7 linked regions of the Callithrix jacchus genome follow. The protein of the gene in region 6 interacts with the protein of the main gene of each other region in a pairwise test. Links are inferred from orthologs where the notes say so. Each region holds a gene or a part of one and is shown on either strand. Other genes may lie near its edges.

Region 1 (4,212 bases), on a different chromosome or scaffold from region 6:
GGCAACAAGAGCAAGACTCTGTCTCCAGAAAAAAAAAAAAAAAAAAAAAAATATATATATATATATATATATATATATAAATAATATTATATAATTATATATAATACATATAATTATATTTTATATATATAATATTATATATATATATTTTTCTCATTCTGATTCCTCGGCTTTCTGAGTAGCTGGGGTTACAGGCAAGCACCACCATACCCAGCTAATTTATATATTTATTTTATTATATATATATATTTATATATATTATATATTTATTTTATATATATATTGAATATATATATATCTAGAACATATTAAAGGTTATTTCTTTTTCTTGCATTTCCAGAAAAGCCTCCTAAAAAATATATATGTAAAATATATAATATATATAACTATGTATATAAAATTAATATATAATATATACAAATATATATATAAAATAAAATAAATATATAAACTAGCTGGGTATGGTGGTGCTTGCCTATAACCCCAACTACTCAGGAAGCTGAGGAATGAGAATCACTTGAACCCAGGAGACAGAGGTTGCAGTGAGCCAAGATGGTGTTGCTGTGCTCCAGTCTGAACCACATAGGAGACTCTGTGCCAACAAAATAGGACTCCTTTGGGAGGCCGAGGTGGGTAGATCACAAGGTCAGGAGTTTGAGACCAGATTGGCCAACATAGTGAAACCACATCTCTACTAAAAAAATACAAAAATTATCCAGGCACGGTGGCGTGGACCTGTAATCCCAGCTACTCAGGAGGCTGAGGTGGGAGAATTGCTTGAACCAGGGAGGCGGAGGTTACAGTGAGCCAAGATCACACCACTGCACTCCAGTTTGGGTGACAGAGCAAGACTCTGCCTCAAAAAAAAAAAAAAAAGACTCAAGAGAACATTGTCAGGAACTAAGCTCCCCTGTCCAAAGGCACTATATTCAGTATTTTAAAAAAATAAACAAAAATGTATATACTGTCCATTAATGAAAAGTTTTACTATTTGATTAAAGCTTAATTTGAAGCTGAGTAATGAAATGTCTTTTTCAAATGCCAAAATATATGGCTATCAACTTATTTCTAAATCTTATATGATTTATGACAAAAAAACAAATGCCCCAATCTGTTACCACTGATACATATATGCGATCATGTAATCAGAGTCCTGGATACGCCAAGGAGAATCAGGAATAAAAATGCTGCCGTGGCTCCTACACTGTGATTCCCTGCCAGCCCACGGCACTGGTGGAGTGTCACCTCTACGCAGAAGCCCATGCAAGTCTGAGTATTTTACCAGATTTTCAGTTCTGTAAAAAATGACTGGGAGTAGTAAGCAGTGTAGATCAAAGAGTAAATACAATGAGAACAGAGATGAAAATTAATAAATGTGGCCCAAAGTGGCAGATCTTTGACTCTACTCAGATGCTAACTGGGTAGGCAGCGGGTACAGAGAATAAAAAAGTAAAGATCACATATGAAATGTGGGAAAACACACTGAGAATTATTCCTAAAAGTTCAAGTATAATTAGGGCGCCTTTCGTAAATTTTAGCTCTCTGGCTACACAATCTGCCTTATGATACTGTCTAATATTTGACTTAAGTTTGTGATTTATGGAATGCATAACGTTAAGGGAAGGATGAGCATATTTATCAATACAATCTTTTGGGAAATAATTAGCAATATACCAATACCTTTATTTCCATAATTTAAATAACTTCTTGGAAATCGTATTATAGGACCTACATTAATGATGGAAAATCTTCAGCAGTGTTGCTTGCTTTGTAGGTGGTGATTATGACTGCTACCATTTACTGAATCCTTCCCATGCTGAAAACCCTACTGTAAGCTATTTATGCTCGGTAAGTCATTTATTCTTCAGGGCCATTTAACCAAGTAAGCATTATGATTATCCCCACTTTTACAGGTGAGAAAACTGAGGCACCAAGATTAGATCGCACAGCGGTATAACAGGATGGAAAACTCCTATCATTTAACGAGCGTTAAGTGAAAAAAATTAGTATCCAAAACTGTAACTCTGATGCTGCAAATCCTTTTTATCATTTAAGTAGCTGTGAGGGTTGGGGTTAGGGTTCGGGTTAATACCCTAACCTAATTATTAGCCCTGTTTCTGAGTACTTCATATGTAGAGTGCACTTTACAGAACACTGTCATGTAATCCTCAAACCATGTAATCAATCAATGTAAATGAATTGATAAGTTTCCAGTTTCCAAAGACGAAAGCGGAGATAGGAGAGGCCAAGTGCCTGCGCCGCGCCAGGTTCGTCCCCGCGGAGCGGACCTCAGGGCGTCCCGGGCAGGTCCCGGCCGAGCTCGCGGCTCCGCGGTGGCGACGCCCGGGCCCAGCCGCTCGAGCTCCCGGAGCCGCCGGACTACGCGGCACGCCGGACGCCGAGCCTGCTCGCCCGGGTCTACATAAAAACCGAAGCCACGGGCAATCTCAACAGACACGGAGACTTAATTTTTTAGACCGTCTTTTGTGTATTTGAGAAAACCCCTCGTCGGGATCCGGGCCGCGGGGCCTCTGACCGCGTCCTCGCGCCGGGCCCGGGCGGGGCCGGGCGGGGCGGGGCAGGCGGCGCCCAGGCTGCGTCCCGGCTCTCGCAGTAGCGGGCCCGGGCCTCCCGCGGGCCTGGGGCTTCGAGCTCAGGCCGAGCGCTCTATGGAAGCCGCGCTCGACCCCCGCTCCCCCGCGTGCGACCCCCGTTCCTCGCGCGCGCCTCACCTGACCCGTGTACCGCTCTCCGTGCAGCCTTCGGGCGCCGCCGGCTTTGCGGACCGGGGCGGGATCCCAGCTCCGATTGGCTGCCCGGCTGGGTGGCGGGGACCGGGAGGGGACGGGAGGTGGAGGGGAAGAGTGAGGACGGGAAGGGGAGGGAGGGGCCCGGCCTCGCGCGGTCGCGCGTGAGAAGCCGGCCTCTGCGCCCTGGGCCTGGCGCCTGGGGCCGTGAGAACTGCCCGTGCGCCTGCCCTGTTCTCTGCACCCAGCTTGGTGGCGAGGGTGGGTGGTAGGTGCTCGCCGATCGGAGGGCGTAAGAAGTGGCCGAGCCCCTCACGGTGTGCCTGGCCCCAGCGTGGGGGTGTCGCATCCCTCTTACCCGGCCCCCACTCACCACGTAGAACCCACTGGGTCCCTTTGGTATTAGTGGCCCCGGCCCGACTGAACCGGCGCCGAGGCTTCCTTGAGTTCTTCGTGTAATTCTGAGAGCGGAGTGAATATCCAGGAGGCCGGTGTCCTGCTCTTGGGTAGCTAGGAAGTGAACGGTGTCCTAGGGAACTGCCTGGGCTCTTATCCACCTGGGAATGGGCTTGTTGGGGATCCTGACGTGGTAAAAGCCAGGGAGCTTCTAGCCTAGCAGGGCTGGGGGAGAAACTAGGTAGAGAGGTGGGTTAGGCTGAAGAACAGAGATCTCTTTGATCTTAAAAGCAGCGTTCTGACTGGTAGGGCTGACCGGCATTTCGCCCTCCAAAAACGTTCTTGTACTTTATTCCGTGACCTGACAAGCCTGCTTAAGTGAGGTTTTGTTGGGTGCCAAGAGAGAAAGGTTTGGCTTTGAATTCATCTCCAGGCGGGGCCTGTCTCCTGAACTCCATACTTCCCTATCCAGCTGCCTAGGTAATACCTCCTCTTGGATCTCTACAATAAATTTCAATCTCAACACATCCCAATCTGTGCCCTTGATGTCTTCCCCATAGCATCACCATCTCAATGGCGTTAAGGACAGAAACCAGGTGTTAAGGACAGAAACCTTGCTGTTACCCGGCACTCAGCTTTCTCTCACATTTCACCTCCAGGGCCCAAAAATTCTGTTGGTTGGACCTCCCTAGCATACTCAGAGCCCGACCACTTCTTACCTCTGCCTCCATCATCTCCCACCTTGGTCACGACAGTGGTCTCTTCCCCGATCTCCCTGCAGTCTGTCCCTATACAGCAGCCATAGTGACCCTAAAGAAAGCCAAATCCAATTCCTCTTCTGCTCGAAACCTTCCCAGGGGTTTCCCAAACTCAGAGTAAAAGCCAAAGCCCTTCACGATTGCCCCTCTGTTACCTCTGCAGCCTCATCTGCTACTGCCTCCCCACTGCCTCACTCTGCTCCAGTCACTCTGGCCTCTGTGCTATTTCTTTTTTCTTTGGAGACGGAGTCTCGCTCTACTGCCCATGGTGGAGTGCAGTGGCACGACCTTGGCTCGCTGCAACCTCCACC
Region 2 (3,500 bases), on a different chromosome or scaffold from region 6:
CTCCTAGCTCCTGCCCCATTCATCATTAAATGATAAGAGCAAGTCATGGGTACACAGCAGCTCTAAATCACACCTCCTTCTTTCTTCCTTCCCATTGCAGTACAAAGAGTACCAATCCTCTAGCAAAAGCCAGTCTCCCTGTGTGCTTAGAATTTCATCCCTTTCAACTTCTTAGACTTCACTGCTCCAGCTCCTCCCAGAAGCAGCACCTTCAGCCTCTCTCCATCTATTTGCTCCTTCCCCACACCCTAGTACATAGACAAGTTAAAAATCTGGAGACAGCAGATGCTGGAGAGGATGTGGAGAAATAGGAACACTTTTACACTATTGATGGGAGTGTAAATTAGTTCAACCATTGTGGAAGACAGTGGTGATTCCTCAAGGATATAGAAATAGAAATTCCATTTGACCCAGCAATCCCATTACTGGGTATATACCCAAAAGATTATAAATCGTTCTGTTATAAAGGCACATGCACACATATGTTCACTGAGGCACTGTTTACAATAACAAAGACCTGGAACCAACCCAAATGTCTGTGAGTGATAGACTGGACAAAGAAAATGTGGCACATATACACCATGGAATACTATGCAGCCATAAAAAATGATGAGTTTGTGTCCTTTGTAGGGACATGGATGAATCTGGAAACCATCATTCTCAGCAAACTGACACAAGAACAGAAAACCAAACACCACATGTGCTCACCCATAGGCAGGTATTGTACAATGAGAACATATGGGCACAGGGAAGGCAACATAACACACTGGGGTCTGTTGGGAAGGGGGGACAGCGGGGGGTGGGGAGGTTGGGGAGGGATAACACTGGGAGAAATGCCTGATGCAGGTGATGAGGGGAATGGAGACAGCAAACCACCATGGCATGTGGGTACCTATGCAACAATCCTGTAAGATCTGCACATGTACCCCAGAACTTAATGTACAATTAAAAAAAAAAGATAGGAAAAAAATTCCTCAATCCCACCCCCTCTCTGTTGCTGAGGCCTCCTGCCCCACCCCAGTCCAGCCCACCAAGGTGGCTGTGACCTGGAGTCTCCAGCTCCTGCCTTCCTGTGGTCTTCCGCCTGCTGCAACTGCGTCCCTCCTTGATGTACCACTCAACCGCCAGTGTAGCGACTCTCTTTAACCTCTGCCCGTATCATGGTAAAGAAAAAGAGCTCTGCCAGTCAAGCTGCCTGGATCTTTCAGCTCTGCTGCTAAGTAACTGCATTACTTTGGGCGCGACCTAACTTATCTGTGTCTTGCCTAACTTGTGTGTAAAACCTCCCACAAGATTTCATGCACACTTGGTGAAGTCAGAACATTATATGAACATGTACATATACAATATCTATGTCCAATACTCCCATATTTCAGCCCATCCTGTTTTCTGATCTCCACTCTTGAAATTCTAATGACCTTCAGGACCACAGGAGTTTGTGGTTGACAGGCATCTCTCACTCACTGTGCTACAGCTCAACGCTTTATCTTCAACCAAACAGGGCCTCCCCGCAGCCTTCCTACTGCCACTCAGTGGCACTCCATCTAGGGTTTCCAAAGTGTAAATCCCCAGAAGTTATCTTTGACACTTCCATCTCCCTCTACCCCTCATCCAGTTCATCATTAGCTATAACCTGCAATTTCTATTTCATATACATCAGCTTCTCTCCACCTCCACTGCTCCTATTCTAGCGTCCAAGCCTCCATGTCTATCACTTTGGTTACCCAGCAGACTTCGTTTTTCTGTTTTGTTTTATTTTGTTTGAGACAGGGTCTGACTGTCACCCAGGCTGGAGTGCAGTGGTGCAATTTCAGCTGACTGCACCCTCTACCTTCTGGGCTCAAGTGATCCTCCCATCTCAGCCTCCTGAATAGCTGGGACTACAAGTGGCGGCCACCATGCCCAGCTAATTTTTAAATTGCCTACAAAGAAGAGATTTCACTGCTTCCCTAGGATCTATTCCAACAGATGCTTTCCCCTTGGGAAGCTGTGGTTTGCCAGTGATGTACAATGACCTATGCACTCTTTGGAGACTAACAAGGTAAAGAAATAATCCAATATATAGTCGTTTTTATATTTTATCTCTTCCATGTTTGTGATATTTTATTTTGTTAGATCCTTAAAAGTAAGAAATACATACAGTGAATTCAATATATTAAAATACATAATGTTTCACCATATTCAGATAATTAATAAGTGCTTCTCACTTTATCAAATAAATAGCACTTCCATAGAACAAGTATTTCAGTGCATGCCAGATAGGCTCCCTACCCTGAGAAATAAGAGAATCAATTCTGCAGAAGACAAGTACGGTCCACAGTGAGACTCTCATGCTCCCCAAGCCCCTTCCTGTGTGCTCCTTGGTCACTGGGACATGACTAGTGCTGCTTCAAGGGGAAAACATGGTAAGTTACTAAAGAGGTCCTTGCACGTCACTTTTTCGGGGCCGCAGGGTGTCTTTCCTTATGAAAGCCAGCAAAATTTGGAATTTAGGGCTACTCTGATAGGAAAATATAATCATAGTTTTTCTTTAATACTGCATAAAATTAAAATAACTACCTGACCTATAATTAACAGAGCTCAAGAATGTGTCATAAATTTTATCAAGATGAAGTACATATGCTTAATTACTAAATTACCAGGATCACCATAAGTGCACCTTTGGTATGCTAGGTTTAAGTAGCTGGGCACCTCATTTTCCTTACATAATCTGGACATACCCTCATGAAGATAGACTTGTTTCTGTCCTCTTTGGCTACTGAAATGCAGCTCTAATGACTCTGTCACTAAGAGGCTGAGTGGGTCGAAAGTTGTCTCCCAAAATCCCATCACAGCCTTCCACAAGTTCTGCCCCCTTAACATGCGTCCTCAGCCTTCGAAATTCTTCTATCTGAAAACAAAAGCAGAAGAAAATAGATTAATACATTAAAAAGATTGGAGTTTCATAAAGGACATGCATAAAATATGCATAAATTACAATTTAAAAAGAGAAAATTAAAATTAAGTTTCAAAAAGAAAAGAAGCAGACTTCATTCTTCCAGACCTAAGACATTAGGCAGGACACTTTCGAGAGATGACAACAGAAGCAGACATATCAAGGTCTCTGAACAACTCGAACAGACACAGAAATCTGCTGCATTTGTTAATGTAAAAATGATACACACCTCTCTCAAAAACGTCCTATGCCTATCTAAAACATAGTAAGAGTGAACAAATGACTGTGTTCTTAAATGCTTCCCAAGTATATTTTAATTAACAGATTCTTATGTTACTGTATGCAAACACTGATTAGATCTTAGATTTATTAGATGGATTCAAGGTGTCCTTTTATCAAAAGACTTTTGCCCCTTTTTCAGCCCTCTAGAGAGCATGGGTCTAAAAAATATCTATGATTTTCCAAAAGTCTGAGTCCAATTTCCAGTCTTCACAATACTGATTTTCAAGTTCATTTCCCCTTCTTGGGTGGCCTCTCCAGGTCCCATGGCTTCCCCACTATAACT
Region 3 (3,500 bases), on a different chromosome or scaffold from region 6:
CACCCACTAATATTCCTCATCTCATGACTCTGGCGCCCCCAGGGAAATTTCCATTCCTTAAGGGCAAGGCTGCTCCCAATGTTGGAAGTACCTTGAAGAGAGTATAAGGTGACAGTCACCAGGACTCAGTACCTTCCTGGGACACCCTCTGCTCACACACTATTTGTACCAGTTCCCAGAGCTACAAGAGAACAATAATTGCCCTTCAGGCCACCTGCCCTATTAGGGCTCTCCCAGCCCTAAGGAGAGCCAGCCCAGCCTTCCAGGAAAGCAGTCAGGAGACAGAGCTGTGAGGCTGTCTGTGGATGCTGCAGCCGAGCCATCAACCTGTCAAGAGGCCAGCAGCCAGCATGGGGAGTGGTGGTGGAGGAAAGCAGTGGTCTGTGCCAGCTCTTGCCCGAAGAGCTGATGACACCGTGAGCCTCCAGGCTGTTGTCTTGAGGCAAATGACTGCTCCTCAGGGTTACCTAGGCCTCCAGTTCTTCCCTTTGAGCCTGTAACGCCCCTAGCTGAGACTTTGGCCAGTGAGAAGGAAAAGGCCTGTTCTGTCAGTATCCTCCTGAGCTGGGCCTCTGGGAGGTTGTGAGGCTTGAGTAAGATGATGCTTTGGGAACAACCAGCATGGTCAGGCAGAGCAGGCATTTAGAAAATGCCAGGCCCAACAGGGAGATGTGGGCAGGCGAACAGGCTAGACGGGACTCTTCTTCCGCCACAGAACTCCTAGGCCTTGAGTTGGGCCCCTGGCTCTGCTGTCCTCCAATCTGGGTTCCCCAGAGTCTGCTGCCACCTCCCTGGCTACCTCCCCACTCCTAGCCAGGAGATAGGACAAGAAGGTGAGGGAGGCACATACTGCCGCAGAGGTCGCCAAAGATGTAGTAGCACTGCTCGGAGAAGGTGATCTTGTTGACGGTGTGGCGGATGAAGCCAGCTTTCAGCAGGTTGCTGGCATATTTGCGGGCCTCCCTCCGGTCAGTGAAGCCTTCCACATTGTGGTACAGCCAGTCCACCACATCTGAGCCTGGGAGCAAGGCTGCCAGTTGATTGGGGGAGCCCATCTGACTTGGACCCATCTGGCCTCATAGAAGCTATGAGGCTGGGGCTGGTTCCAGCTCAAGGGAAGTCCTGGGTCCCCCAGCCGGCCCTGCCCATCACTCCCACCTTCCCCGCATCCCACCATGGGACTCTCTCACCGATGAAGGCGTTAGGGATGGTAATCTTGAGCCACATGCGGTCACGGACCTCCAACCCTGATTCAGGGGAGGCCATGGCTTTCACGATGGCAGCCATGTCACTGTGGATGGACAGGTGGAAGTCGTCTAGGCCTGGGGGTGGGAGGCAGAATGGTGAGGCAGAAAGGGGCTTTGGAGTTGAGGAAATAAGAGTTTGCATTCTAGCTCTAACACCTAATCGTTTTGGGACCAATGCTGGGAAAATTACTGACTTCTTGGACACTCAGTTTCCTCTTCTATGAAAAAATGGGGATTTTAATATCTACTTTACAAGGCTATTTGAAGAAAGAATTAAATAATGTAAATGCAGGCGCTTGGCCCAGGGTATAATGAACATGCTATGATAATCGAAACGGCTGCCATTTACTGAATGCTTACTTTGTACCACACATTGCAGTGGTGCTTCATTTACATCCTCTCATTAAACCCACAGGAATCTGGTGAAGTTTATGTTGTAAGTCCCATTTTGTAAGAGGAAACTGAGGTCCCCTGGGTGCTCATACAGGTTCAGAAGCAAACACTGTTGAGTGGGGGTTAGAGTGCCCACTGTGGAGGAGTTGCAGCGTGGGGTCGCTGACAGGAGCTGAGTCCCCTCTCCGGCCCTCTCTGACGCTCAAGCAAGAGTCTCTACGTGGACCCTCATCAGTTTGCCCCACCTGGCCCTGTCTGCTGAGCCCAGGAGACAGGGTTGGACACTCACGCTCTGTGTCAGGGATAGAACTGGTGATGGAGGAGCTGGTGGAGGTGATGGTGCTCAGGGAGGGGCTCATGCCGTATGCAGGGAAGGTGCCCGTCATGGCTGCAGTGTGGGAGACCCAGGCCGCAGGGTCAATGGGCCGGATGGGCTCGCCTGCAGGGAGGATGAGGAGTCATGGGCCACCCACCCCACCCACTGCTGGGCCCAACAGGATAGGTGTGGGGATTCTGGGTGACAGAAGAGAGACTGGGCTCATGTATGTAAGCACCAGCGTCAGGACTGAGTCTCCCATCCACTTACTCCTGGGCAACGTGAAGCAACCACGTGGACTTGGGTCCCAGCACTTGGCTACAGTCAGGGTGATGGGCCTGAAAACAAGGGTGTCCTAGTGAAGGCAGGATGATGTGTATAGGCCAGACCACGCCCCTTACCCAGCGCCCCGTTCCATCCATACCCCGGTTTGTGCACGATCTCCCGCAGTACCCGGACTGCGTCGTCATTACTCATGTTCTCAAAGTTGATCTCGTTTACCTGGGAAAGAGGACCCGGAGTGGGACAGGCAGTTGTGTTCGGGAGGATGAAAGGGGAACTCAACTTGGTAGGTCAGGGAGTCTTTCCCCATCCAAGAAGGGGCCTCTGAATGAGGGTGCAGATGGTAGGACACCTCCCTACTCCCTATCCACACCACTACCTAGGGTGGGCACTGATACCTGTAACAGCATATCTCCTGGCTCGATGCGCCCGTCAGCAGCCACGGCCCCGCCCTTCATGATAGAGCCAATGTAGATGCCGCCGTCTCCACGCTCGTTGCTTTGGCCCACAATGGAGATGCCCAAGAAGTTATATTTTTCTGTAGAGAGTAATTTAAGATCTTAGGGGGGAGCAACGTTCCTACCCACGTTCCCAGCCCATTAGGAAATGGAAAGGGACAGGAAATGAACTGACATTTACTGATCCTGAACCAGACACTGCACTTAGCGTGCATGCTCAAACATGCTTCCACGGAATCCTTGCTGGCTGTAAGGTAGGGACTCAGTCCCATTTTATAGAGCAGGCAACTGAGGTTCAGTGAACTTAGAAGATGACTTTTTTAAGCCAGTAAGTGGCAGAGCCAGGACTCAAACTCAGATTGAAATCCCAAAGTTGGGCTCCTTTTATTATATCCAGCTGTCTCTTAAAGAGTACCTAGGCAGAAGTCAGAGAGCAAGGATGCAGTGGCTGAGAGATGCAAAGGAGTGGACACTCAGAAGTCATTTCCTCCAGGAAGCCTTCCCTGATTCCATTTTCTGCTTCTACTACTCTCTGTGCTTATCTCTGTCACAGCCCTGATGTTGAGGTACTAAAATGATCCGTTTATGTATCCGCTGATGTTTAGGAATGAGAACTCCTCGAGGGCAGGGAACAAACTCTGCGCCACTCTGACCTCAAGTCTGCCAAGTGTCTGGCAAAGAGCAGGGGCCTGAGATTGCGGTTTCCTCAGACTCACCCATGTTGAGAGTGACCGTGATGATGTTGAGTGACATGGTGGAGTCCGTGATGCTGCTGAAGGATGAGGACTGGAATAGACAGAGGCC
Region 4 (3,978 bases), on a different chromosome or scaffold from region 6:
AGGAGAACTGCTTAAATCCAGGAGGCAGAGGTTGCAGTGAGTCAAGATCCTGCCACTGCACTCCAGCTTGGGCAATAAGAGTGAAACTCCATCTCAAAACAAACAAAAAAACACATGTATAAATAAATACATAGGCTGGACGCAGTGGCTCACACCTATAATCCCAGCACTTTGGGAGGCCGAGGTGGGTGGATCACAAGGTCATGAGATCAAGACCAACCTGGTCAACAAGGTGAAACCCCGTCTCTACTAAAAATACAAAAATTAGCTGGGCACGGCGGCGCATGCCTGTAGTCCCAGCTACTCGGGAGGCTGAGGCAGGAGAATCGCCTGAACACAGAAGGCAGAGGTTGCAATGAACCAAGGTCGTGCCATTGCACTCCAGCCTAGGTAACAACAGCGAAACTCCGTCTCAAAATAAATAAATAAATAAATAAAAAGTTAAATACATACATACATACATAAATTCACCATTTTTTTTTATGAGACGGAGTTTCGCTCTTGTCACCCAGGCTGGAGTGCAATGAGATGGGGTATCACCTTGTTGACCAGGATGGTCTCGATCTCATGACCTCGTGATCCACCCGCCTCGGCCTCCAAAAGTGCTGGGATTACAGGTGTGAGCCACTGCGCCCGGCCCAAATTCACCAGTTTTTAAAAACTACTTTTAGGAAGCTGAGCAATACTTTATGTACTTTTAGAGGAATATGAAGCCAAACAGAAAATTCCAAGTATGGGCCAGGTGGAGGTGGCTCATGCCTGTAATCCTAGCACTCTGGGAGGCCGAGGTGGGTGATAACAAGGTCAGGAGTTCAAGACCAGCCTGGCCAAGATGGTGAAACCCCATCTCTACTAAAAATACAAAAATCAGCCAGGCGTGGTGGCAGGTGCCTGTAATCCCAGCTACTCAGGAGGCTGAGGCAGAGAATTGCTTGAAACCAGGAGGCAGAGGTTGCAGTGAGCCGAGATCAGGCCAGGCCACTGCACTCCAGCCTGAGAGACAGAATAAGACTCTCAAAAAAAAAAAGAAAATTGCAAGCAAGTCGGTTGGAAGATGCTTAACAGTAAAGAGACTTTCTATTAGGAAGTTTAAGTGAGGCACAGGGTACCTAACTTCTCAGTTTCTGGAGTACGCCTGGGCATGTGGCTGATACTCTCCTTTGCCTGTGGGTATTTGAAATGAATCTTAAGGGAATTTACTTCGGACAGTTCCAGGCACTCCCAGATGTGAAAATTTGACACCAGAAGGTCTGGCAAATGCGTCTAAAGGAAGAATTTTCTTTCAATCCCCACACTCGGTCTAATGAGGCCACCTTATTGCAGGATCAATGCAACTAAAACTTAAATTGACCACTCTCTTTAAGAAGAATTTTCCTGGGTGCTTCTGTGAACGTTTTATGGAAGTGAAAAAAAAAAAACAACAACAACAACAAACAAAGCCTAGTTATTAAATTTCGAAATGACTTAAGAACAAATGTGATGTCTAGAAACCTACCCCAAAGGCGATAATTTTATGTCATCCTAACATTTCCTCTTTTATTAGCAAATAAAATGTTATTTGGAATGCCAAGGAGCTCCTCCCTCCCCGACACTTCCACATTACAGTGTCATGAATGGTATTAGCTACACTCCTGCACCAGAATAAGCTTTTGTTTGAGCCGTTCCCAAACCAAGGTATTAGAAGCGACCATTCTTCACCAAACAAAGATACTTTTGGACTGCAGCCCAGGAGCCTGAACACCTCAGTGTGTACTAACTATTGTGGTGTTATCCTGGGAAAGCAACCCCGTCTGCGAGAAAACACAAACAGCCTTGTCCTTGACAAACAGCAGTGTGTTCGCAGCCTAAAATCTAAAGAGGCAACTATTAAAAAAAATTAAAAGTGCAGAATCCTGGAACTAAACACCACGAGCTCTCTATTCAAAGACGTTTCTTTTAAACAAGGTGTTTCAGTTACACATAGCCGTCTGCATTTGACAACAATCAGGACGAGGCTAAATGCGGTTCCTTCTCCAGGTAAGAGCGAGAAACCAGAGGGAAATAAAATTGTGCCAAAGAGCACGTAGCACCTGTCAAGGCACTGTGACCCAAGAAAGATGAACACAAAGAAGCCGCGATGGATTTGGTTATCCTTGGTCTCTCCCCGCCCGCAGGGAGTCCTACCAGCCCCAGGCCAGAGCCGCCAAATCCCGGCCTCACAAGTAAGGGGAAGGGAATCGCCCCTCTCGCCTTCCGACTTTCCCCAGGCGGCCGGCCTCATGGCAAAGCGGCCAAGGGCCTGCAGAGCCGGCAGACAACGGAGGTCCGCAGAAGAGGCCAGGACAGGAGCCGGGAAGGCCGTGTGGCCCGCACCTCGGCGCCGCAGCTCAGCCCCGCGCTGGTCCTGCCGTAGCGGGGATGGGGCTGGAACCCGGCGCTCATCTCCGGGCACTCTGCGCCGCCGCGGCCGAGGCAGGGCAAAACCCTACACGTTGTCGTTGGCGGGAAGCGGTGGAAGGGATCCACCCCGCGAGCAAGACCCCCGGAGCCCAACCGCCGCCGCCCCCTCTTCGAGCGCGCCATTTCCAGGCCCTGGCCCTCCAGGCGCCGCTCCTAGGCCTCCGCGGGTCCTCGCCTCGGGAAGCCCCGGGTGAGCGCAGGACGGCTGCCTCCTCTGACAACCCCGACCCCGCCGGATCCCCCAGCCCACGCCGGAGCCCGCGCACGCCCGCCTCACCCTCTGCCGCCGCCGAAGCTGCTGTAGGCCCGATCGTCGTAGGTATCGAAGTCCGCCATTTGCCGTCTCGCTCCGAGAGGAACCAGGGTGAGCGAGGAAGGACCCCGCAATATAACTCCCCCCGCCCCGCCGCCGGGGCTGTCCGCCGCGCCGCCTGATCGCAAATCGCTCGGACGCGCGCACGCACGGACGCTCGCCGCGCCGCGCCGCGCCGCGCCGGGCCTTGGGCCCACGGGCAGCTGCTGGCTCCGCGCGCTCTGAGGCCCACGTGGTGCGGCGGCGCCCGAGCTGGACGCCTGCTCTGCCAGCGCGGCCCATTATGTGCTGTCCCTGGGGCTGCGCCCGCGGCCGCCTCCTGTCCCCGTCGCGCCCCGCCCTAGCGCGTCAGCCTTCCCCTCCGTCTGCGGGAGGTGGTCGGCAGAGCCGGGCAGGAATTCCCTCTCGGGTTCGCCTGGGACCTTGCCTTTTGGCCTCCAGACCTGGCAGGGACCTGTTCCGCTTGGCCTCGCGAGTGATCCCCTATGACACCCAAGTAAAGGCCACCTCCTCCAGACAGGAACCGGCCACACGAAGAGGATGCCCTGGAAGGGGGTGCAAGGCGATGGGACGCAGATGCGAATCCCGTCTTCCAGGGCTTACTCGCTGCCTGGGTATTGGGGTGTTTTGAGAGGAGATAGGTGGCCTGTGACTTAGCGAGAGAGAGGAAGCACATCTCTGTGTTTTGCAGAAGTCGTTGCCTTGGAAAAAGAGTTGGTTACTGATACGGATTCCATCATCTGGCAATGACAAAACGTAGATACGCAGTGGAAATTAATTACACGGGTAAATTTCCAGGCTGGTGATTGAGATGGTGGTGATTGTGGGTGCCACAATGTTGACAAACCCTAATTATGTAGGCACACTTTAAAAATCTCATAGGCCGGGCGCGGTGGCTCATGCCTGTAATCCCAGCACTTTGGGAGGCCTACGTGGGTGGATCACGAGGTCAGGAGTTGGAGACCAGCGTAGCCAGTATAGTGAAACCCCATCTCTACGAAAAATACAAAAAATAGCTGGGCGTGGTGGCGCGTGCCTGTAATCCCAGCTACTCAGGAGGCTGAGGCAGGAGAATTGCCTGAACCCAGGAGACGGAGGTTGCGGTGGGCGGAGATCGCGCCATTGCACTCAAGCCTGGGTAACAAGAGCGAAATTACATCTCGGAAAAAAAAAAAAAAAGAGCCGGGTGGGGTGGTGGGCACCTGTAGTCCCAGCTACTCAGGAGA
Region 5 (3,500 bases), on a different chromosome or scaffold from region 6:
TCTGAAAGAGTAACCATTTCATTTGTAAAGTCCAAAACAATGATAATGAGGCACAACAACAGACAAATTTTGGCTGGGCACAGTGGCTCTACTTAAAAAAAAAAAAAAAAAAAAAAAATAGTGGGGCATGGTGACATGTGCCTGTAATCCCAGCTACTCAGGAGGCTGAGGTGGGAAAATTGCTTAAATTTGGGACGTAGAGGTTGCAGTGAGCCAAGGTCACGCCACAACACTCTACCCTGGGGGACAGAGCAAGACCTCATTTCAAAAAAAAAAAAAAAAAAGACAACACCAATATATTTTTTTCACTGACAGTTGAAAAGACATGACCTAATATATAATAGTTTCAATCAGGTATAATAAATAGATTAGGAAGCATTATCAACAAATAACAAATTAAATGCATATTTAAACTGGCCCCCTTTTATGAGGATTACTGATCTTAGTTAAGAATATAAGAAAAATATCAGCTGGGTGTAGTGGCTCACACCTCTAATTCCAGTACTCTGGGAAGCCAAAGCGGGTAGATTGCTCAAGCTAGGGAGTTTGAAACTAGCCTGGGCAACGTGGCAAAACCCAGTCTCTGGGGGGGAGGGGAAGGGGAGGTGATTAAGAAAAAAAATTTTTTTAAAAATATCACCACACTAGAATAAAATGTAAAACAGCAACATTAGTGTATGAATAAACTCTAACCACTATGTCTACTGGTTCAATAATCTGTACATTAAAACACACACACACAAACTTACTGGAGTCAGCCTTGCTACTTCCGGATGTTCCACATAAAAATTTTTCTCAAACTTGGGGAGCTCGCTCAAATCCCACTTTTTTTTACGCAAACGCTCCCCAGGATTACCAAATTTCTTCGGGGGGAGGCCACCACCACCTCTTGCTCCAAATCTAGGAACATCAGAATTTTTAGTTCATCAGTATTTTTGAAGTAATATATCTTACACACCATAAAAAGATTCAAACAAGATAGACTACTACCAGCCTACCTCCAAAAGACCATGTTATTCACTCCTATTTAAAGGTATGGAGAAGTGTGTAAAACTTCCTTTACTACCCAACAAGAGTAACTGTTTATGAGTATGGCTATAATAGGTGAAAAATAAAAAATTCCTGTATACATACTAAGGATTACAATCACAGATTCTGGAACCAGACATGGTTTGAGTTTTGATTCTGCCACTTACTGTATAATTTAATTATTTAACTTCTACACACCTCAGTTTCCTATGCAAGTTAGAAATAATACCACCTATTTCAGAGGCTGCTGAGAAAAAGATCTAATAATGTGTAATGTGCTATAAAAGTAACTGGCATAACAAGCACTCAGTACAAGCAAGCATCATTCCAGTCAACAAATAGTTATTAGGTACCAACTATGTATCAGTTACTATTTGAAGTGGTGCCGTGCTGGAGTTACTAAAGTAAATAAAACAGAAACAAGTCTCTACTCTTGTGTAACAGAGAGGCAGGCAAAGGATGACATTAGTTTCAGTTTCAGTTAAAGGCAAGATTGTGGACAAGGAAGAAAATACACTCCAAGCATGTCCCTCAGTCTTCTTGGGCCCTTCCCCCTTTAAACTGTGACGAGCACTCCTCGTAGACCGGTCTTCATTTTTAGCTTATTCTAATAAAAGAGCTGAACAAGCCACGTTCAGTGGCTCACAATCCCAGCACTTTGGGAAGCCGAGGCAGACAGATCACTTGAGGTCAGGAGTTCTGATCAGCCTGGCCAACATGGAGAAACCCTGTCTCTACTAAACAGTGGTGGTGCACGCCTGTAATCCCAGTTACTTGGGAGGCTGAGGCCGGAGAACAGCTGGAACCAGGGTGGCAGAGGTTGCAGTAAGCTGAGACCACACCACTGCACTCCAGTCTGGGAGACAGAGGGTGACTCCATCTCCAAAAAAAAAAAAAGCTGAACATACATTTATGACCTCTCCTTCTTCGTCTCTTTTACCTTGTATCTCCTCCTTGTTCCCAAACGGTATTATTAATGGACAGAAAAGCCACTAACAAGACTTATTTAAGGTTTTAAAAGTCAACTAATTACTTGAGATCAACTTCCTGCTTTTTACATACCTTTCACAACAAACAAGCTCAAGGGGAATACAAATATGACCACTAGCCTAAGCTAAAATTTAACAAATCAGAAGCTACTTTTCCTAGAAATATCTTAACATGGCCTTCATCTTCCCTATTTCAATCTTGTGAAGTGCAGGGCTGTGTCTGGCACACGAACTGTACAGCATTTTTTTCACTGACAACTTCTTTACTCATTGTAATATACTGTACTTAATTTAGGTTCCTTTTCCCACTCTAACCCACTTGTACCATCATCTCCCCACCCCAAGACAGAGGCTCACTCCGTCACCCAGGCTGGAGTGCTGTGGCACAATCTCAGCTCACTGCAACCTCCGCCCCCCAGGGTTTAAGCAATTCTCCTGCCTCAGCCTCCAGATTAGCTGGGATTACAGGTGTGCACCACCACGCCCAGCTAGTTTTTGTTTGTTTTCTTTTTTTTAGTAGAGATGGGTTTTTACCATGTTCACCAGGCTGGTCTCAAAAACTCCTGACATCATGATCTGTCCACCTCGGCCTCCCAAAACCAAAGTGCTGGGATTACAGGCATGAGTCACCGTGCCTGGCCATAACATCATCTTATATAAAGTTTCACTTTATAACTGACAGGCAGCAGGTGTATTATTCTATAGGGCCTCAATTTCCTGCAATTCAAAGCATTAGAACTCTGGCTTAACCAGCTATATATTCCTCTAAACACAAATATAACAAAAATTGATGACAGGAAAATTTTATTGGGATCACTGGATACCTACATTCAACAGGTAGAACGTGGCTAATTCTTTATACCACTGCTGAGGCAGTAAGACAAATTAAGAATCAAAACAGGAAGAGCACATAGCATTGGCATACACATGTCAACAACATCTTTAATGTACTCCTCGGCTTAAGGCTCAATAGTGCAATAGTGAACAGACCAAAAGGCCACCTCAATTGCCACCCCCTACACTTGCAAATGAAGCAGCTAAATAAGGCACTTTTCAAGAAGTACCAAGTCCTTGGATTACCACTCTCGCAAATTATAAAATATTCCATTGTTACTGCTGCATTGCAATACCCAAACCTCAATAATCTACGAAAAAATAAAACTTTTGAAAGTGATGTTCCTGGTAACGCTTTAAACTAATCATAACCTCATTACCATTTATGTATTTTTTCCTCTCTCCATATTTCTCTGGCTATTTAAGATATACTACCCTACACTATATATCTAATTTGAAACATGGAGTTCTTGGAAAATATGCTGTCTTCCATGTTTATAATTAATGCTGACATAATTAATGACCTCAAAATTGAAGAAAATCTTTTACTTTTGAGCATATCCATATCTTTAAATATACACATCGTACTCTGGTATAGTATGCTCCTGAAATGTTTTTATCCAGTCAGCAATTAACAGCTTAACTTGA
Region 6 (4,106 bases):
TAGGATTCCCTTTTGGCATCTCTTCTGTGCCCACCCAGTCTGGGCTAGGTGCCCTCCCCTGGCAGGTTGTGTAGGCTCTCATTGCACTTGTCCACATGGAATTGAAATTTATTGCTTATTTGCTTCCCACAGTGGACTGGGAGTTCCTTGAGGGTAGCAATCAAGATTTAAATCTCTATGTCCCACCCTAGCCAAGCACCTCATACCTCGTAAGCGCTTTGTATCTGTTGTTGAGTAAAATGAATAATGGAGAACCTTGACAAGGACTTGGCAGAGAAGAAAAAGGAGAATTAACTGCCCCAGTAGTGGTTTTTACCCTGGAAATGTTGTTACTACCCTGAGCAGATAGTGAGCAGCTCACATCCATATAGATGAGCAGACCAAGTGGAATAGAATGAATGGCATAAGCCTGACTTCTTTAGGCCTGATGCTGAGGACATGTGCCCTGCCTATACGAAGGAGAAAGCTCTGTTCCCCATCAAAGACAGTGACAACACAGGTACATACACACATGCACAGCGCAGGTCACAGTCTTTAAAAATATTACACGTGGCTGAGCAAAGTAGGCACCTGTGCGGGGTGTGGAGGACATATCGTAGCTCCAGAATTCCAGGAGCCAGCTCAGGGAGGCCCAGAACAAAGCATCAGGGCCTAAGCAGGGTGCGGAGGGCATCTGAATGGGGCAGGGGACACTGGTCATGATGGCAGTTGGTGATATTTGGGGGACCGAACAAATAAACAAATAATATATTAAGGATAATGGGAGCCAGCCTCTGATCAATGTTAATGACGGCAGTTACAAATTCAGAAAGGGAGAAAACTCTGTGGTGTTGGAAGTGTGAATTTATGGTTTTCAATACATATGGATTAATATAGAAATAAATAGATACATAAATAGAGGAGGAAGCTGGGAATCAGAATTAGACCTGTCTAGCTCTTTTCACCATTCTTTACTAAGGCCCTACACATAGGCCCTCTGCTGTGAAACCTCTGCCCCCTTCGCTGTCCCCTAGAACCCCAACTGGAACTCACATAGACTTAGAAGATTCCACCCCCATAGTCTCAGAGCATGCATCACACCACATGGCACTAGTTGCACACAACTAACTCATGAGGTTTTGGTTACATGGAGGGTAGGCCTCCTCTTATCTGTATTCCCTGCATCTCCCTTGGAACCAGGCACATGGCCATCACGATAGTTAGTATTAATATTTACTGTGCACTTATTATGCATCAGCAAAGACTTCACATGCATAATCTCATTTACAGCTGAAGACAACCCTATGAGGGACATATTACCATCATTCCCATTTCACATATTGGCAAGGTGAGGTTAGAGGGGTTAACCGAGGTACGCCAAGATGTAGAGCTAGTGAGAGGTAGAACCAAGAGTCAAGGCCAGACGGTCTAATTCCTCAGACTGTGCTCCTCACCCCTCAGCTCTGCCACCATGGACTAGGTGTAAGTAAATGGTCACTCAACAGATTCCTCCCAGGGACTTGTGTTTCTAAACACTCTCCCTCAATCCAAGTCCACACTTTATGCTGAGCTCGTTTGAAGCTCACCTCTTTAGGGGAGCTCCCCATCCTGGTCTGAACTGCTGCCTCAGTTCTCCTTGGGCACAGGGCTTGCATCGCACCCTGACATATGACCCAGTCAGTGTTGGAGCAGGGAACATAGTTTGTCGACATTTGTTGAACTGAATTCAATGCCCAGGAATGGAAGTAAACAGGGATACATGACAAAGTGGTATATTGTACAGGATACTGTGGTTATCTATTTCTGGATTTTCCAGAAGAGTTCAATTTCTAAAATTCCATCCTCTCATCAGACCATTTGTCAGAATACATGGCCAAGAATGTAGTCTGGAATTTTGTTTAAAGAGTAAGGTCGCCATTCTATAGAAGAGAGGCGGGAGTGGGCACAGGGTGTGCTGCCGGGCACCCCAGCCCGACACACCCGTGGGCAGGTCACAGCTCTCTGAACCTCTTTATCTGTAGGTAAAACTGCAGTGCAATACCTACTCCTACTGCGGAGTGAAATGAAGTCTGTGTGTGATGTGTTTTAAATACTGATGAAGAATAATGTCATGTAAATCCAGTTACTGCTAGTGGGATTCCTCACGGTTTCACTGACCTGTCTGGCAAGTCATTTTCATCTGTGAAAGTAAAGAAGCTTTTAATGAAGACCACTGCAGGAAAATAGGTATAAAGAGAGCAAATGTCCTGAGGTCTTTCTAGTGTTTTGAAAAAGACACCCCTGGATATTTTCCATCTTTTAGACTCTCTTCAATTTGATGCGTGTGTGTGTGTGTGTGTGTGTGTGTGTGTGTGAGAGAGAGAGAGAGAGAGAGAGAGAGAGAGAGAGAGAGAGAGAGAGAGAAAGAGAGAGAGAGAGACAGAGAGAGGGGAGAGTTGGAGGCCGAGTGGGCAGAGGTGGAGTTGTTTTAAAAAACTGCATGAGATTCTAGCTGGTGGAGGGACAAGGCTATCTTACCTTTGCTGTATGAGGTCTCCCAGCTGTGTGAGGTCTCAGGAGATAGTTCTTTTGAGAGCTGAGCTTTTCTGGCTTAGCAGTAGCTCAGAAAACTTTTCTTTCTCTTTCCAGTGTTCTGTGCCCCAGCTGTGTATAAAAACTGCTCCGCCTTTTTCCATGCAGGGGTTAACCAGGGCATCTCCTGCCCCTTCTGCAAGGCTTTGGGTAGAAGAGATCCATAAATCTGACAGCAGCTATGGGGAGATTCAAGGAAGAGCAGTCTCCCGCAGAGCAGCATGCATTACCATCAGTGACAAATCTGTCTGGTTTGGATGGGGCTGAGACACCCCTGAACTTCCTTCTGCTCTTGCCAAAAGTCAAGATCCTTTTGTTCACCTTTAGGGTTGCCAAGTCAGGCCTACCTCTCCCCTAGATGTTGTTTCCTGCGGGCAATGGGAAAATGATCTTGGAGCCAGAGAAGGGAAATCAACAAGGAAATAAACACAGGGTCACCACACCTTCAGGCCATCAGTAGGTCTGGAACATTATCATGCTGGGACCAACTCCTTAATAGGCAGGGGCTGCTGACTGGACAGGCCCTAGAATCCTGGGCATCTTTTATTTTTCAATAAGTAAAGGGGCATGCACCAAAATCAGTATCAGGCAAATAAGTAGTTCTGACTTGTTCTAATACCTTGCCAAAACTTTCAAAGATTTTCCATAGGCAGTATTGCTCATAACTGAACATTGCCTAATGTTTGTAGACAAAAAAAAAGGAATGGGCATGTTTGTGGCTGATACTATTTAAGACTTTTAACTCCAAAGATATAGAATTATTGTTTAAATAAGTATTTCTTCTGCTCATTCTTCAGCATCATCACCATCATCACCATCGTCAGCGGCTGCAACATCTTTGCTAACATTTATTAAGTGCTTACTGTCTACCAGATTCTATAGTAATCACCCGACCTGCATTATTTCATTTAATTCTCAACAGAATCCTATCATTATCACTCCCATTATACAGATAAAGAAACTGAGGATTAGAGAGACTAAGTCATTCCTGCAGAGTGACCCAGCTAATTAAAAATGTAAACATTGTGATTCCAGAAGTGGGCTTTTCTGAGCTTTGCTTTTCCCACCAGTTGACCTAAGCACTAATGTGGGCTGACAGCTCCAGTAAGGACCAAAGATTTTGCTTAAATAAGTGATTAGCTCTGGGTATCAGATTCTAAATAGAAACATAAATAATTAGTGAGTTAAGTAGTCTCCTTCCAGAGATGTGAGTCGAGTCCTTGGTGTTACCTTATGTATATGCATCATGCAAGAAGGACACAGAGAGTTCAGGTACTTGTGGCCCCGTAATCACAGGTGGTGCTACTGGCTGCAGTGCCTTCAGCTCTCCACTGTGACTCTGATTTACAAACAAGGAAGTGCTCTGCAAGTCCCTTGGCCTCTGTGTGCATTTCGGTCATGGCCTGATTGCTACTTTGTCCTTTTGACTTTCAGAGTCAAACTGCTGCAAGTTTCTTTTAATCAATAATCCAGGGAATGAAGGAGGCAAAATGACCAGCCTGGAAACTTCTGCCTGGTGAGATGAAGCCAGCACATGTATTTTTGGTCCTAAGGTC
Region 7 (4,202 bases), on a different chromosome or scaffold from region 6:
TCACGATTCATCTAAATCTTCTACAGCTCCTTTACAGACGACCATATCAAGTAAAACAACTGAAGAAAAGAAAAAGACAAAATGTACACAATAAATGCTGATTATTTGGCTCATACTGCATAAGCTTAGTCATCTTTGAAGTGTTTTTTGACCTTTTGCAACCTACCAAAAAATTCATCACTGATGCATTCCACGGTACAAATGATGCAAAAGCAGAAGTAGTTCATCCATTTAATAAACATCTAGTCTGTATGCAACCATATCATGACCGGCCAGGTTCTAGTAAGCCCATAAATCTAATAAACACAGAGTTCCTTTTTCCTACGTATTTTAACTCTCACCTTACTTTTCCTTTTTACCATCCTGTCTTTTTGGAATACAGGCAGACAGCATTCCTCTATATTTCTTTTGTTTTAGTAGCAATGATCTCTTCAGTAAAAATTACAAATGCCATTCAAAATATTTCCCCTGAAATAGACGGCTAGAACAAATCAAAGTCGAGCTGCAACTCTAATACTTAATACAGGGCATTGCCTGACACAGAATGGGCTCTTAAAGGTTGCTAAGTGAGCGGACCCCAGTGAGAACGAAGGCACCCAGGGCTGAAGAGAGGGAGCTGAGAACAGCGGACACACACTGAGTGTTTCACACCGCACAATCCCGGTGGCCTGACCCTGATCTGAGCCCTGGTGGTAAAAAGCCTTAAACGTGACAAGACTCAGAACCTAAAGCCAAGGCAAGATCTGGCGGTTAAGCTGGGACGGCAGCATCCTTCTTGCCCATCAAAGGAGTGAGCTTTATTGAAACTTCCTGCCACAATGAAGAAAACACAGACACAAGGAAGCGCGCCCTTCCCGCGCCCGGCACTGGCCCCGCACAGGGGCAAGGGAAAGACCCCCAGGTATCCACTCCGTCAGGGCCAGGCAGGTCGGCGTGGCGGGGCGGCAGGACTCTGCGGGACCGTGCGAGCGTCTCCGCGGACCCCACAGGCCTCGCCTCAGCCCCGGGCCCAATCCCGGCCCCACGGCGGGCCAGGTCCCAAGAGCCTGCCGGCGTCGCGACCTCTGCTCGATCATTACCTGTGGCGCAGAGCCGCAGGGCGGCCCGACACCTCCAGGCTGCCATGCTAGCCTGGGAGAGCTGCAGAAGCTGACTCTGTGCAATAGAGAGAAAAGATACCGGTGTCCGCTGCCTTCCCGCCAGGAAAGGGAAGCGGAGCTGACCCAGAGCGGAAGAGAAGCTCCGCTCAGAATACGGGGGCGGGGCAGGCCGGCCTCCGTTAAGCTCCCAGGACCCCGCCGGTCTCCGTCTCTGAGTATGCGCGGAGTGCGGCGCATGCGCCGGGAGGGCAGCGTCTGCGCTGTCGTGTGCTTCAGCATCCTTTGCGCCCTCGGCCCCTCCTGAGGAGCGTGGGAACCCAGCGTGCGGGCTTTATTCGGGAAAGCGGTGGTTGTTCACGGGGGCACGTTTCCGGAAAGGTGAATACTGGAGAAAGTTAGGTTGCAGGCGAGGTAGACTCCCACGACGCACTTACGGGATGAATATTGGCACATCATTTGCTTGCTGCTCCCGTGCAGTGAGTGCACCTGTGCGTTTTAATGCTGGATCAAATTTGTGGAAAGAGGCGCGCCTGAAGACTGGATTGCTGAGCTGCGCGCCACTCTGTGTTTTTCCAAAGCGTTTTTGAAATCGTCTTTCAACCTGTTTGCATAAAGGGACATCTCTTAAATGCAGCAAGCTTTAATGCACTTTTGCCAAAGTAAGGATTGCCTCTTTAAAAACTTTCTCTTGAAACTTGAGAACATAAAGTTAGGCTTAGGATTTTTTATGACTTTTCTGATTACTTTGGAATTAAATAAAATAGTATGAAATATTCATATTGCTACCTGTTTTTTTTTTTCTACAGGACAATGATTTGTAAAACCCATATTTCTTTTATATGAGGTTACTGCAGCAGTCGCTACTTCTGAATTAGATGAAATTTTTATGGGACGTAAGGTACCAGAGGATTTAGATCAAATTTTGAAAACCTATGAGAACAACAGAAAGGGTAAGTTATGATGTCAGCCGGTTCACCTTAGGTTCAAAATTCCAACAGGCGGAAATGTTCTAAAACATTGTTATTCCTAGTGACTAGAAGATTAAATTACACTCTAATTGAGAGCAAGCCTTAAATGTCACCCCTTTTGGGCATACAGCATGGTATCCAGTGCAAGCCCTCTGCAGATTCAATTTTTCTTCCTTTCTTTTTTTTTTTTTTTTTTTTTAAAGAAAAAGACTAAAACATAAGGGGACTGTTGAAGCGACGGGAATGTTCTCTCAATGGTGGTGAAACAGCTTTATAATAGTACCATGGACTTGATACTCTTCTACAGAAGCTTTTCTACTCTCTTGGCAGTATCTCTGAAAGACCCATATTCAGTTTGTTTTTCCATTCTAATGTATTTCAAAGTTCTCTGTCTTCCACAGCATGCAAAATAAAATAATTTCTTTGCATATTTGCATTACAGTTTAAGTTAGCATGTGGAGAACAACAAAAACCAGTTAACCTAGATCTGTGCTCTTCAATAGTGTAGCCACTAACCACCTGTGGCTATTGAGCTTTTGAAACATGCCGTGTCATGAAGTAACTGAATATTTAATTTTAATTTTAGGAAATAAAAAAACTGACACTCGATTCAGTTATTGGAAAGTTTTTTTAATATGATTGGAACAACTGAGATATTTGAATCTACTTTTTCAACTGTAAATTTTATGAAATCTAAAAACTGATCATTTCCCAGGTGTGGGTGGCTCTTAACTGTTTGCCAGCACTTTGGGAGGCTGAGGCAGGAGGATTGGTTGAGGTCAGGGATCCGAAACCAGCTTGGGCAACACAGTGAGACCCCGTCTGTACAAAAAGTTTAAAAATTAGCCAGGTGTGGTGGCACACACCTGTGGTCCCAACTACTCCAGAGGCTGAGGTGGGAGGATCAATTGGGCCAGGGAGGTTGAGGTTGCAGTGAGCTGTGATTGTGCCACTGCATTCCAGCCTGGCAACAGAGCTAGACCATGTTTCTATAAAATAAATACCAATTAACGTATTTCTGATGAAATTAGGGAGGTTGTAAGGAGGTATAGTATAAATGTAAAATATACACTGGATTTGGAAGGCAGTATAAAACTGTTAAATGTCTCAGTATTTTTGTATTGATTATATGTTGTAATGCCTATAGCTTAGCTATATCTTAGATATATTGAGTTAATAAAATAAATTATTAGAATTAATTTCACCTGTTTTTATATTTCACTGTGTTTCCAAGAAAATTTATAATGACATATGTGCTTTGCATGATATTTTCATTGCAGGCAATGTGAAAATGTTCAAAATTATGCATTAATGTGAAAATGATTTAATAAACCAATAGACTTTTTAGGCCTTTTGTTCAGAGAACATGCTAAATTTCCATATGCTAAAACATATTCAGTGTTCAAAAATTTAAGTGTTTTTTTCCTGCTTATCTACCTCAAGTGGTGATCACTTTTTTTGTTATTTAAAAGGTTCTACTATTTTGACAAGATCTTTAAAAAGACTTTCAGATAAGCTACACTTGTACAGATACATGCCTTATATATTTTGCCTACATATGGCTGTAGTCTAAATGTGTATCGCAAATTGCATATGTTGAAACTTCATTGCCAATATGATAATATTAAGAGATTGGGCCATTTGTGCATGATTTAATCATGAGGTGGAACGCTCATGAATGTGATTAGAGACCTAATAAAAGAGACCAAAGGGATTATCTTAGTCCCTTTTCCCCTTCAACCTTAAGCCATATGAAGACACAAGAAGAAGGTACCATCCTTGGAAGCAGAGAGCAAACCCTTATCAGACATCAAACCTGCTGACTCCTTGATGTGCAGCCTCCAGAACTTTAAGAAATAAATGTTTATTATTTATAACTTATCAAGTCTGTGCTATTTTGTTACAGAGCATCAACAGGCTAAGTAAGACACATGTGCTTTCCAAAAGTCATATACACAGGTGTCTTGTTTATGGTAGGACTGTTTGCAATTGTGAAAAGCTAAACAATTCAAATCTGTAAAAGTAGAATAGATAAATTGTGTTGTTATCCTGTAGTAAAGTACTATATAGTAATGAGAATGAATGAACTTTTGTATGGAGAACTGTGTGGTTGCAAATCATAAACTAAATGTTG

The links.
Region 1: the proteins of LNX1 (region 6) and BLVRA interact in a two-hybrid assay, tested with the Homo sapiens proteins (3 studies listed by BioGRID and IntAct). The link is inferred for Callithrix jacchus from reciprocal best matches to the Homo sapiens genes LNX1 and BLVRA.
Region 2: the proteins of LNX1 (region 6) and CA8 interact in binary tests that used the Homo sapiens proteins (3 or more experiments, as listed by UniProt). The two-hybrid records come from large-scale screens. The link is inferred for Callithrix jacchus from reciprocal best matches to the Homo sapiens genes LNX1 and CA8.
Region 3: the proteins of LNX1 (region 6) and DVL3 interact in a two-hybrid assay, tested with the Homo sapiens proteins (2 studies listed by BioGRID and IntAct). The link is inferred for Callithrix jacchus from reciprocal best matches to the Homo sapiens genes LNX1 and DVL3.
Region 4: the proteins of LNX1 (region 6) and EIF4H interact in binary tests that used the Homo sapiens proteins (3 or more experiments, as listed by UniProt). The two-hybrid records come from large-scale screens. The link is inferred for Callithrix jacchus from reciprocal best matches to the Homo sapiens genes LNX1 and EIF4H.
Region 5: the proteins of LNX1 (region 6) and DDX17 interact in binary tests that used the Homo sapiens proteins (3 or more experiments, as listed by UniProt). The two-hybrid records come from large-scale screens. The link is inferred for Callithrix jacchus from reciprocal best matches to the Homo sapiens genes LNX1 and DDX17.
Region 7: the proteins of LNX1 (region 6) and CCDC102B interact in binary tests that used the Homo sapiens proteins (3 or more experiments, as listed by UniProt). The link is inferred for Callithrix jacchus from reciprocal best matches to the Homo sapiens genes LNX1 and CCDC102B.

The regions. Positions count from the first base shown.
Region 1 is NC_133512.1:11,962,705-11,966,916, reverse strand, and holds the start of BLVRA (biliverdin reductase A), read right to left. Parts: upstream 2,801-4,212; 5' UTR 2,733-2,800; intron 1,849-2,732; exon of another isoform or gene 1,775-1,848; intron 1-1,774. UniProt on the Homo sapiens protein: Reduces the gamma-methene bridge of the open tetrapyrrole, biliverdin IXalpha, to bilirubin with the concomitant oxidation of a NADH or NADPH cofactor. Does not reduce bilirubin IXbeta.
Region 2 is NC_133517.1:16,345,449-16,348,948, forward strand, and holds part of CA8 (carbonic anhydrase-related protein), read right to left. Parts: intron 2,891-3,500; coding exon 2,756-2,890; 3' UTR 2,721-2,755; intron 1-2,720. UniProt on the Homo sapiens protein: Does not have a carbonic anhydrase catalytic activity.
Region 3 is NC_133516.1:13,150,531-13,154,030, reverse strand, and holds part of DVL3 (segment polarity protein dishevelled homolog DVL-3), read right to left. Parts: intron 3,483-3,500; coding exon 3,413-3,482; intron 2,777-3,412; coding exon 2,637-2,776; intron 2,458-2,636; coding exon 2,381-2,457; intron 2,295-2,380; coding exon 2,227-2,294; intron 2,080-2,226; coding exon 1,930-2,079; intron 1,323-1,929; coding exon 1,191-1,322; intron 1,019-1,190; coding exon 851-1,018; intron 1-850. UniProt on the Homo sapiens protein: Involved in the signal transduction pathway mediated by multiple Wnt genes.
Region 4 is NC_133503.1:9,567,411-9,571,388, forward strand, and holds the start of EIF4H (eukaryotic translation initiation factor 4H), read right to left. Parts: upstream 2,801-3,978; 5' UTR 2,776-2,800; coding exon 2,717-2,775; intron 1-2,716. UniProt on the Homo sapiens protein: Stimulates the RNA helicase activity of EIF4A in the translation initiation complex. Binds weakly mRNA.
Region 5 is NC_133502.1:209,415,800-209,419,299, forward strand, and holds part of DDX17 (putative ATP-dependent RNA helicase DDX17), read right to left. Parts: intron 901-3,500; coding exon 750-900; intron 1-749. UniProt on the Homo sapiens protein: As an RNA helicase, unwinds RNA and alters RNA structures through ATP binding and hydrolysis.
Region 6 is NC_133504.1:143,048,458-143,052,563, reverse strand, and holds the start of LNX1 (E3 ubiquitin-protein ligase LNX), read right to left. Parts: upstream 2,801-4,106; 5' UTR 2,497-2,800; intron 1-2,496.
Region 7 is NC_133514.1:111,379,753-111,383,954, forward strand, and holds the start of CCDC102B (coiled-coil domain-containing protein 102B), read left to right. Parts: upstream 1-1,402; 5' UTR 1,403-1,478; exon of another isoform or gene 1,479-1,759; intron 1,760-1,906; 5' UTR 1,907-2,032; coding exon 2,033-2,050; intron 2,051-4,202. Other genes in the region: protein disulfide-isomerase TMX3, read right to left, coding at 5-11. UniProt on the Homo sapiens protein: During interphase, forms fibers at the proximal ends of centrioles to maintain centrosome cohesion. During mitosis, dissociates from the centrosome following phosphorylation to allow centrosome separation. Contributes to CROCC/rootletin filament formation.